3 linked regions of the Oryctolagus cuniculus genome follow. The protein of the gene in region 1 interacts with the protein of each later gene in a biochemical or structural test. Links are inferred from orthologs where the notes say so. Each region holds a gene or a part of one and is shown in the gene's direction. Other genes may lie near its edges.

Region 1 (4,250 bases):
GGAGTGAACCAGTGGATGGAAGACCTCTCTCTGTCTCTACCTCTCTCTGTAACTCTGCCTATCAAATAATAAATAGAATAAATCTGTTTAAGAAAGAAAGAGAGAGAGAGAGAGAGAGAGAGAGAAATTCGCTCCAAGAAACTGCGGGATGCCGCGGGCCACAGGAGTGCCTGGGCTCTGCTCCACCTTCCAGCTTCCTGCCGGGCACACGCTCCTTGGGCAGCTCACCTACCTGGGTCCCTGCCACCCAGACGGACGTCCAAGCTCCTGGGCCAGCCCTGGCTGTTGCAGGAATTTGGGTACAGAACCAGATGGAAGTCAGTATCTTTGTCTCTCTGCCTCTCAAAAATGAAAATCAATGATATTTTTTTTTTCAGTTAGCCCCAGCTCCATCATCTACCCGCTGCTCCCAATAATAATTAAACCCGTGTGAAGACAGGATTTTCACTGTTTGCTTTTTATATTAATCCAAAAGCATACATCGGTCTAAAAAAGGAGCCATGCAAGGAAAGGCTGAGTTCAAGCCCCCGTCCGCGAGGGTGAGACGGCCGCCCCTGCCCCTTTCTGTCTCCCACGTCGGGGCTTCCTCGGATGCTGGGGATGTGTGGACTCCCAGGGCAGCCGCAGGTCAGCTTCAGGCTGCCGAGAGCCATCCCGGCCGACGGTGCCCTGCAGGCACTGGCAGACCCGCGTCGGAAGCTGCACCTGCAGCCGCGGCTGCGCTGCGATCCGAGCAGCCGTTCGTTTAAAAACGAACCCGTAACAGTAGCACCACGACACGGATCGATGAAGCAAAGAAGTGACCTTGTTCAATGACAAAAAAGGGTGACAAGCAGCAAGGAGACAGGCAGCGGGGCCGGTGACCTCCAGCCGGGAGCGCCTTTCGGGGGGACCCGGGGGAGAGGCGCGGAGGTCGCAGGTGCACGGAAACCCGCCGCGGGCTCCCGACATAGGACACCGCCCCGGGCAGATGGAAACCAAAAGGGCAGCATGGCAGCGCGCGTTCAGCTAGGGGCCGGAGGGAGGAGACCCCCCAACAAGACAAAGGCTGCAGCCGCGGGAGGCCTAAAGTGCGCGTGCGCTACGGAGCGCGCGTGCGCGCGGCTGGCCGCGCCGCGGCCCAAGACGTGGGGGAGGGGACTCGGGAGAGGAGTGAGCCGGGGGCCGTGGGCGGGCCGCTCGCGCGCGCCCCCTGGCGGCCGGAGGAGAAGGCGCCCGCGGAGGCCTCGCGGCCCGCCCCGCCCCTGGGGTGGCTCGTGCCCCCGCGGCTCGCGCCTGCGCCTCCGGTCGGGCTCGGGGACGCGCCCCCTCGCCCGCGCGCGCGCGCTCGCAGCCACCGCCACCCACCGGCTCCGGCACCAGCAGCAGCGCCGCCGCCGCCGCTGCACACCGTCTGCACACCGCCAGCGCCGCCGCCTTCCCTCGGCTGCCCGCTGCAGTCCTCGCCGTCTGCCGACTACCAGGTAAGCGCCGGGACTCGGACACCCGCCTCCCGTGCGCTCCGCAAGCCGCCGCAGCCGGAGTTTAATGCCCACCTGCGGCGGGGGCTGGGGCCGGGCGGCGTGGACCGGGGCGCGTGTGTGTGCGTGCGCTTGTGTGGCTGGGGTCCCGGGCGGAGGCTGTGCCCGCAGGGTGGGGCGCGGATGGTGGCCTGGGGGAGGGGGCTGCGCTCTGTCCTCCATCGCAGCCTTTTGCCGCAATGGGCGTGTGTGTGTGTAGGGGGGAGTCCAATGACGACCCCCGAAACCGAACCTCAAATTCGACTTCTCTGCCGCTGTCTGCTGAGAACAAGACCCGGATCGGGTTCTCGAAAAGACGATGGCTCGCACACCTCCGTGCCCGCACCTCCCCGGCGGCGCCCTCCTCGCCGCCCCCTCCTCCGTCCGTTCCTCCTTCAGAAAGCCACAGGGGACATTTGGGGGCTGGGAGGAACCCGAGAGATGGGGAGGGGGCCAGGCGCTGTCATTCCAGCCGCCCTTCCCCCTGCGCGCGCCTGGCACGGGGACTTGGGCAGCGCCGCGCCCGAGGAGAGATGGTGCGTGGGTCCCCGCGGGGACGCCCTCCGAGGCAGGCGGCCCCGGGCCGTGCGACGTGGACGGACTGCGGGGCCGCGGCTCCCGGCTCGCGGGCGCGCACGGCCGCAGCCCTGCACAGCCGGGCGCGGGGGCTGCAGGTGCCTTTCGGGGCGGGTCCCTTTCTCTCGCTCTGCGCCGGGCGCTCCCTGCCGGAGGCGCGGGGCTGGCGCGCAGGGCTCGCCCCTCACTGCGGCAGTGGGTGTGGACCCGGGTGGGCGGCGGAGGGGGGAGCAGGCTGTGCCTCCTCCCACTCCCACCCCTCCCCCGTTTTTTCCCTGCCGAACGCGAGGTGCCATCTTTTTGCGGCTGTCACGTCTTTCTGTTCCCAAGCCGAGCCGGGTGGTCGGGCTCCGCGGAACGGGGCACGGACTGGCCTTGGGTGGGGGGACACCATCAGCCCCGAAATCGCGGCGTTTGGATGCTGCGGGAGTGAGCGCGGGGGTCGAGCACGCGGAATTTTCTTCGACAGCTCGCTGCTTTGTTCCTAGAGCTTACGTGATCCGTGCTCGCGGCCCCGTCTGGGGGTTTCTTCCATTCCACGAGGGCGTTCAGCCAAGACTCCTAGCCCCCTCGTTTCCCACCCTTTGTCGGCTCTTGGTGCTTGCCGGGGGTCCATGAGCCCTGGTCACGAGCCTCCGGGGCGCTGGTGGAACAGCCGCCACCCTTCCCGGAGGTCAGCCCCACGCGGGGGAAGCGCCCTCCCTGCCCAGGGGGGTGGGATTCGGGGTCTGGGCGCGCCGTGCACCTCCCGAGGCTGCCAGCGTCCTGGGGGACACGCCCGCGCGGCTGTCCGGCGATGGGGGCGCGCTCGCCGCCGGCGTCTCTCCCGGCTTTACGCCCTGTTGCTACGCCAGGCTGGAGAATGTCAAGAGGGGGCGTGAGGTTCCCTCGGGCGCCACCGCCACACCCATTTTTTTCCAGACCCACCGAGCTAGCTGAGTGGGGAGTTGCCATGGGAACCGCACGCGTCCGGTGACGGACCCTGGCGGCGTCGCCCCGCCCCCTCCCCGCGGAAATTGGGGACCCAGGGCGGGCCTCGAGATGCGCGCGCTGGGGAGTCCCCCGTCCCTGACCTGTGGCTCTTTCTAATTAGTCCCCGGCGGCCGCAGCCACCCAGACAGGCGTCCCGGATGTATTTTATTATCTTGGCTGGGCTAATTAATATTGCTAAGTGCGAGATTTTCACTTAAGAGTCGGAGTTCGTCGCCGCATTTGGCAGTGAGACGGGGGTATGCGGCCACCTCCCGGGTGATGGCTTTCCGCTTTATTCCAGCGCTGGAAACTGGTGTGGGCGTGGGGCTCCGAGAGCGATGAGCGTGGTCGGGCCAGCTCGTCCGCGCAGGCCTCTCGGGTTCCGCTCCTTGGAACAGCCTGGCTGGGGTGGAGCGCCCGCAGGAGCCGCCCCGGACTGAGTCAAGCATCCTTTTCCCCCAGCCCTTCGCCCCTCGGCAGCGCTGGGGCGGCCCGGGAAAGGGGGAGCCCTTTGCAGCCCCTGGGGAGGAGAGGGAGCCCGGCAGGCACAACACCTTTAGCCCGGTGCCATGGTCCGAGATTTCGCTCCGTTTTGGGGGGCTTAATGGTGTCACCCCAGGACCTTGAGGGAATGCGCAGCGCCCAGCCCCCGCGGTGGTGCCTAGGGACACTCACCCCCGCCCCCTAACGGCTCCAGCAGCGGGGGGCTCTTTTCCCTCCCGGGAGACCCCGCTTACCCCCTGGTACTCAGGAACCTGTAGCTCCAAGTCCTGGCCCAGTGCTGGCTCCCCCTTGGGACAGCGACACTGGCCGGCCCCTCCCCCACCCTGCCCCCTCCACGCCCATACTACGGTGGAAGAGAAATGTCTCTCCCGCTTGGCTGATTCTGAGCTGTGTTTTATGAATTTCCGGCCCCTCATCTCTAACCCTCCCTCTGAGTACAGAAAGAAATGTGTGGCTGGCTGGAGGGGGAGAGGAGGGAAAGCCCCCCCCCCCAGGTCCACAGCCACTCATGACGCTAATCCACCCCCTGGCGTTTGCCTCCGTAACAGGTGTGTTTGGGGCAGTAGCCTGGCTTGGCTTGGGGTTCACCTTGGATGATTTGGGAGGGTTTGTTGGCTTTGCTGGGTGTTGGTGAGTGACAGTCGGTGGCTTGTGTGTCCCTGCTGGCCCAGGCCTTCTCTGCACACGCCCACCACGGAA
Region 2 (3,123 bases), on another chromosome or scaffold:
GCACAGAAATGAGTAAGTCACGTTCCGCTTCCCCCTCAATGCAGGAGGTCCGTCCACGAAACACCCAAGTTGTGGTCCTGCTGCACACTGTCTACTCCTGTGTCAGGATTACAGCAGTTTAATCATAAAACCTAGGATATATTTTTATTTCTGGTAAATCAAATGCCCTTCATTGTTATTTTTCTTTCTTCTTTCTTTTAAATAATCTGAAAGGCAGAGAGTGACCAAGCATGCTCACCTCTTGGTTCACTCCTCTAATGCTTGCAACAGCTGGAGCGGGGCCAAATGAAGCCAGGAGCCAGGATCTCCATCTGGGTTTTCCATGTGCTTGCAGCTACCCAACTACTTGAGCTACCACCTGCTACCTCCCAGGGCATGCATTAGCAAGAAGCTGGAATCAGAGGTCAGTATTGTGGTGTAGTAGGCTAAGCCTCCGCCTGTGATGCCGTCATCCCGTAAGGGAATCAGTTGGAGACCTGATTGCTCCACTTTCAATCCAGTTTCCTGCTAATGGCCTGGGAAAGCAGCAGAGGACGGTCCAAGTCCTTGGGCCCCTGCACACACATGGAACACCCAGAAGAAGCTCCTGGCTCCTGGCTTCAGACTGGCCCAGCCCCAGCTGCTGCGGCTATTTGGAGTGTGAACAAGCAGATGGAAGATATTTCTCTCTCTCTCTCTCTCTCTCTCTCTCTCTCTCTTTCTCTCTCTTTCTCTCTCTTCCTCCTCCTCCCTCTCCTCCTCTTTGTAACTTTTCCCTTCAAATAAATAAAAAATAAACCTTTAAAAAAAAAAGAAGTTGGAATCAGGAGTGGTGCATTAGCAGGAATCAGCAGTGGAGTCAGGACTGTAAAGTGCATACTCCAAACTGGGATGTCAGCTCCCAAGCAGTATCTTAACCACTACACAAAGAGCCTGTCCCTTATTTTCCAAACAAATTGTGGCACATTTATTTTTCAGATTAGCTTTATAGCTACTTTGTCAGGTTCCTCACACATCACCAAAAAACTTCGTTAACATTTTTATGAAAAATGACTTTAATTTATATATTCAAAGAAAACAAGTTCCTACATTTCATGTTCTATAGTCTTTTACCGGGACTTGGTTTTTCTTATTCCTAGACAATATGTGTTACTGCTATATGAATAGGATATTGTCCAGCTGCTGATTGCTATTACTTTGCTCCTCATCACCTGACTGCTTGCTGATTAACCCTATCAACTGGCAGTTGATGCTTTGCTCACCTGTTCTGTGTCTCCTCACCCCGGAGCCTGCAAGGGCAGAGAGCAGCCTATGAGGAAAGAAGCAGGCATCAATCCCTGAACGTTCCTGCAGCTTTGGCTCTCAGTTTTTTCTTAAGTTTCCCTTTGGCCCAGACCAACCAGAAGCCAGCAGGCTTGGGACTCATCCTTGCAGACCACAGGGACACAGAAAGGGACATGTGGGAGGTGGATCTAACAAGCAAAGAGGAAGAACGTCATAAATGTGCAGATTTCCCAGAATGCACCTCCAGGTGACACTCACCTGCTCAAGGGCCGGACAGATGTACTAAGGCCAGTCTACTACCCCCTCTGCATGGCTGACGTGTTCAGTGTGTTATGTACAAACAAGGACAAAGCATGAGAAGGCATCTTTCCTTTGCAGACTCCTAGGATGTCTGAGCTGGAGAAGGCCATGGTAGCCCTCATTGATGTTTTCCATCAGTATTCGGGAAGGGAGGGCGACAAGCACAAGCTGAAGAAATCTGAGCTAAAGGAGCTCATCAACAATGAGCTTTCGCATTTTTTAGAGGTGAGTCTTGCTACAGCTTATCCCTTCTTCTGTCTTATAGAATGACTTTGCACTTTCTTTTCTGAGCTGCTCTGAAGGTGATTCCAGTTCTGTCTTGGGATACCTGGGTTGCTTCTAGAACCTCTTTGCACTACTGAGTCCTCATTGTATGCAGACTCACTTGGATGGGCCTCTTTGTTTTCAATTTCTTGTCACCTGGCGTGGGCACAACAGCCCATCAGGAAACACTGCTGTAGAAGTAAATATTCCCAATCATGTTGACCTTTCTCTGAAAATCTAAGGACTTACAAATGATAATGATAGCAGAATGGGATGAAAAAATACTCATGACTTACCATTGGCCAAAGTGAACATATAAGCAAGCTAATAAACTTCTGCTTGGGGGAGAGGATATATTTTGGCTTTAGCTAGATGTTTACTATTTACCACGGAGATAAAAAGTGCCAGACATTCATTTGGTAAACATTTACTGATCCCTCAATAATCCAACACTGTGAGAGATACAAGTCAATACAAGTCAATGGCCTCTACTTTCAAGGCATCCAGCCTGGTCCATCAATGGTTGACTGTGACTGACTTGATTGAGGCCATGAGCAGGCCTGTGCACAAACTGTGGAAGCCCTGAGGCCTTACAGGCACCTCTGTGGAGTAAGGGATGTTGGCAAGAAACTGCCTTTAGTTTGGGCTCCTATTTAGGAAGCTGCACAAGGGCTCCTGATGAGCCCTATCCTTCTCCATGCAGCTCCTGTTCTGGTGTATGGTAGAAATCCAGACACTGGCATGAAAGATTCACTTTCCTTCCTTCTGTGTCCACTACCCTTGGATCAGCTGCCCATTGCTTCTACTGCCCACCAGCCTCATTCCCTCATGGAAGTGAACTGTAATCCACCCAGAACCTGATTCCCACAATGCCAGAACTAAGGCTGGATCACAGGTTGAAACAGTGGTCATGTGCACAGGTAGGGTGGGATTTTTGCCATCAGTGAATTTTCTGGGCATCAATATGACCAGTCACACACAGGAGAAATCAAAGTACTAGTACCTGAAGAAGATACTGGGGTAGGGCCCTGCTGCATGGTGATGGGGAACCACCCTCCTGCACTAGCTGAGTCTCTCAGTGCAGAGCAACACTGCTGGTTTCCAACAACAAAACATTGTTTGTTGTCTGGAAGGATGGTTGGGGTTCTTCTGTCCCCATTCCCTGTGACCCTCCAGCACTGTTAATGTCCCCCCCACCACCCAAGAGGGAAACATGCTGACAGGCTTTCTAGGCAGTCTCCAAATCTGATTCTGAGACTGGTTTTCCTAGGTATTCAAGTTCAAAATATAACAGCT
Region 3 (2,746 bases), on another chromosome or scaffold:
ACGGGGTCAACGACATCAAGAACCACAAGTGGTTTGCCACAACCGACTGGATCGCCATCTACCAGAGGAAGGTGGGTGTCGCCTCCCCACCCTCTTCCCCTGCCCCGGGCATTGGGGAGAGATGGAAAGGGAAGAGGGCACAGGCTCTAGGCAACCTGGAGTGGACAACCTAGACGTGGAGGCCTGGAGATGGGAGTCTGGGGCCATTTGGTCGCTCCGTGCCCCCCAGGCAGCAGCTGACCCTGTCTCTAGGAAGTCATTGGCTCCTTTGGGGAGCCGGCTGCCGTTCAGAGTCTCGGGTTGGTAAGGGGAGTCTATACCTTAAGGCCGGGCACACATGTGGGTCCCAGTAATTATCTCCTGGGTGTTAGGCTTTTCGCATTTATTGTTGTACTGATGTCACTTGTTGACTACTGAAGTCTGGGTGGCTCTTGGTCCCTCTCCAGGTGGAAGCTCCTTTCATACCAAAGTTTAAAGGCCCCGGGGACACGAGTAACTTTGACGACTATGAGGAGGAAGAGATCCGAGTCTCCATCAATGAGAAGTGTGGCAAAGAGTTTGCTGAGTTTTAGGGGTGTACCCGTGCCCCTATGGGTTTTCTTTTCTTTCTTTTTCTTTTTTTTTTTTTCGGTGGGGGTGGGTGGGAGGGTTGGATTGAACAGCCAGAGAGCCCCCCGAGTTCCTTGCATCTAACTTCACCCCACCCCACCCTCCCAGGTAGGGGGGAGCAGGAGGCCCAGATATTTAGAGTAAAGGAACCACCAGCCGCACCCCCTCCTGCCCCTCCCCCAGGAGCCCCCACCCCCAACCCACTTCTGCCTGTTTTAAACACGTTCATCAGCTCCAGTGAGACAAGGTCTTGCTGGTGCGTCCAGGGACAGGGTGCAGAATGAAGGGCCCAAACTGAACTCCAGCCCGGCACCCCTGTGCTTACCCCACCACAGGCCGAGGGCGACAGCGATGGAAAAGCCAACCTTCCCTTTGGAGCCGGGGCCCAGGGGAAGGAGAGAGTTTGTCTTTTTTTTTTTTTTTTTTTTTTTTTTAGTGACCTGTTCAGTGGGCTTCTTGCTAGGATTTTTTTTTTTTTTTTTCTTAAGAAACCATTTAAAATCTTATTTAAAGTCCACCAGTGCCTCCTCCACCCCCGCCCCCCAAGCCCACGAGAACCAGGCTGGGAAGGAGATCAGCTTTGTCCAAGGAAGGAGCTGGGGTGTGAGCCTCCGCCCCCCCTCTCAGGGTGGGGGGCGGTGGGGGTGTCCCCTGCCAAGCCTGCAGGGGGTGGGGGTCTCAGCCCCCTGAGCAAGCCCCTACTTCTCCCAAGAGACCTTTCCTCACCCTTGGGATTTGGAAGTCAGACAAAGCAGCTGCCCCTCTCCCTGCCAAAGAGTCCCCACCCCACCCCCACCCCGAGCCCCCCAAGAAAAGAGAGGGAGGGAGGGAGAGCCCAGCCCAGGGCCTCTCCTCCGAACTCCTGAATTTTATTCTCAGCTAGATTTTAAAGGCCCAGCCTCCCCGCCAAGGCAGCAACCCCGTGAAAGGACTAAGAGGCCAGGTCCCCCACCCACCCACCCCATGGCCCAGGGTTCAAGGCCACGGCCACTGGGGAGGGGCTGCCCGTTTTTATTCACCCAGTAGCTCTGGCACGCCCCGCCCCCCACCCCAAGCTGGGCACCTCGTCTCTAGCTTAACTGTCAGCTGTCCATCACCTCTTTCTTCCCGCCCCCACTCTCCTACGTCTGATTTGTGCTTTTTCCCCCCTCTCTTAAAAGTGGGGAGCAACTGGGGAGCCACCCCACTGGCCCCCCACTTTGCCCCTCTCTCTCCTAAGTTCTGCCCATCCCGGGAGGAGCTGCCAGGCCTGGGGTGGGGCCCGGGTGGGCGCTGGGGGCGAGTCAACCTGTGTGCGCAAAGGACGAGACTTCCTCTTGAAAGTGTGCTGTTGTAAACATATTTGAAAGCTATTACCAATAAAGTTTTGTTTAAAAAAAAAAGTGTCACTGGCGTTCCCGACTTCGGTCACCCACCCACACATCTCTCCCCGCGGCTGGGAGAGACTTGGGGGGCTGTGGGACCCCAGCGGCCAGGCTGACCAGGAACCGGCCGGGAGCCCTCGGAAACCCGGGTTTTTGGTTTTTTTTTTTTTTTAAGCTGGAATCGCGCCCCTCCCCACCCCGCAGAGGAAGGGGGCACCTCAGCGCCCTTTGACCCCGGGGTCGGGGTCCCCAAACCTGAAGCGCGGCCCCTGCGCGTCCAGCCCGGGTCCGAGAGGGCGCTCTCGGGGAGACACGGGCGCCGGCGCGCCGGGAGGCGGCCGAGCGGCGCGGGGCGGGGAGTGGGGGCGGGAGGCGGTGCGCGCCCCCTCCCCGCACCCTCAGCGTGGGACCCGGCGCGCCCTCAAGGGGCGCGGGGGCGGCCCAGGCGCCCCGCAGCGCCCCGCGAGCGCAGCGGCCCCGACCCGCGGGCGGCGAGTTCCCGGTAAGTACGGTCCCAGGAGCGGAGCGCGCCGGGGAGGCGTGGAGAGGGGGGCTGGGCGCCGGGGACGTCTGGGTCCCGCGCCCAATGGCTGGAGGGCGGCCGAGCGCCGCCCGCCCGCCCGCTCTCCCCTCCCCCCGGCGCTCCCCTCCCCCTCCCCCGCCCGCCGCTTTCCCCCGCCCCCGCCCCGGCGCCAACTCCGCGGCGCCTCCTTAAAAAGCGCGCGGGAGTTGTAAGGGGGGGCCGGAGCGAGCCGGAGTGAGCGCGAGCGCAG

The links. The genes of interacting proteins can lie anywhere in the genome.
Region 2: the proteins of MAPT (region 1) and S100B form a complex in vitro, tested with the Homo sapiens proteins (2 studies listed by BioGRID). The link is inferred for Oryctolagus cuniculus from reciprocal best matches to the Homo sapiens genes MAPT and S100B.
Region 3: of the proteins of MAPT (region 1) and PRKACA, one has a biochemical effect on the other in vitro, tested with the Homo sapiens proteins (9 studies listed by BioGRID). The link is inferred for Oryctolagus cuniculus from reciprocal best matches to the Homo sapiens genes MAPT and PRKACA.

What each region holds. Positions count from the first base shown.
Region 1 is NC_091448.1:17,309,914-17,314,163, reverse strand, and holds the start of MAPT (microtubule-associated protein tau), read left to right. Parts: upstream 1-1,288; 5' UTR 1,289-1,463; intron 1,464-4,250. UniProt on the Homo sapiens protein: Promotes microtubule assembly and stability, and might be involved in the establishment and maintenance of neuronal polarity.
Region 2 is NC_091435.1:240,393-243,515, forward strand, and holds part of S100B (protein S100-B), read left to right. Parts: intron 1-1,641; 5' UTR 1,642-1,650; coding exon 1,651-1,788; intron 1,789-3,123. UniProt on the Homo sapiens protein: Small zinc- and- and calcium-binding protein that is highly expressed in astrocytes and constitutes one of the most abundant soluble proteins in brain.
Region 3 is NC_091447.1:62,969,244-62,971,989, reverse strand, and holds the end of PRKACA (cAMP-dependent protein kinase catalytic subunit alpha), read left to right. Parts: coding exon 1-71; intron 72-446; coding exon 447-572; 3' UTR 573-1,991; downstream 1,992-2,746.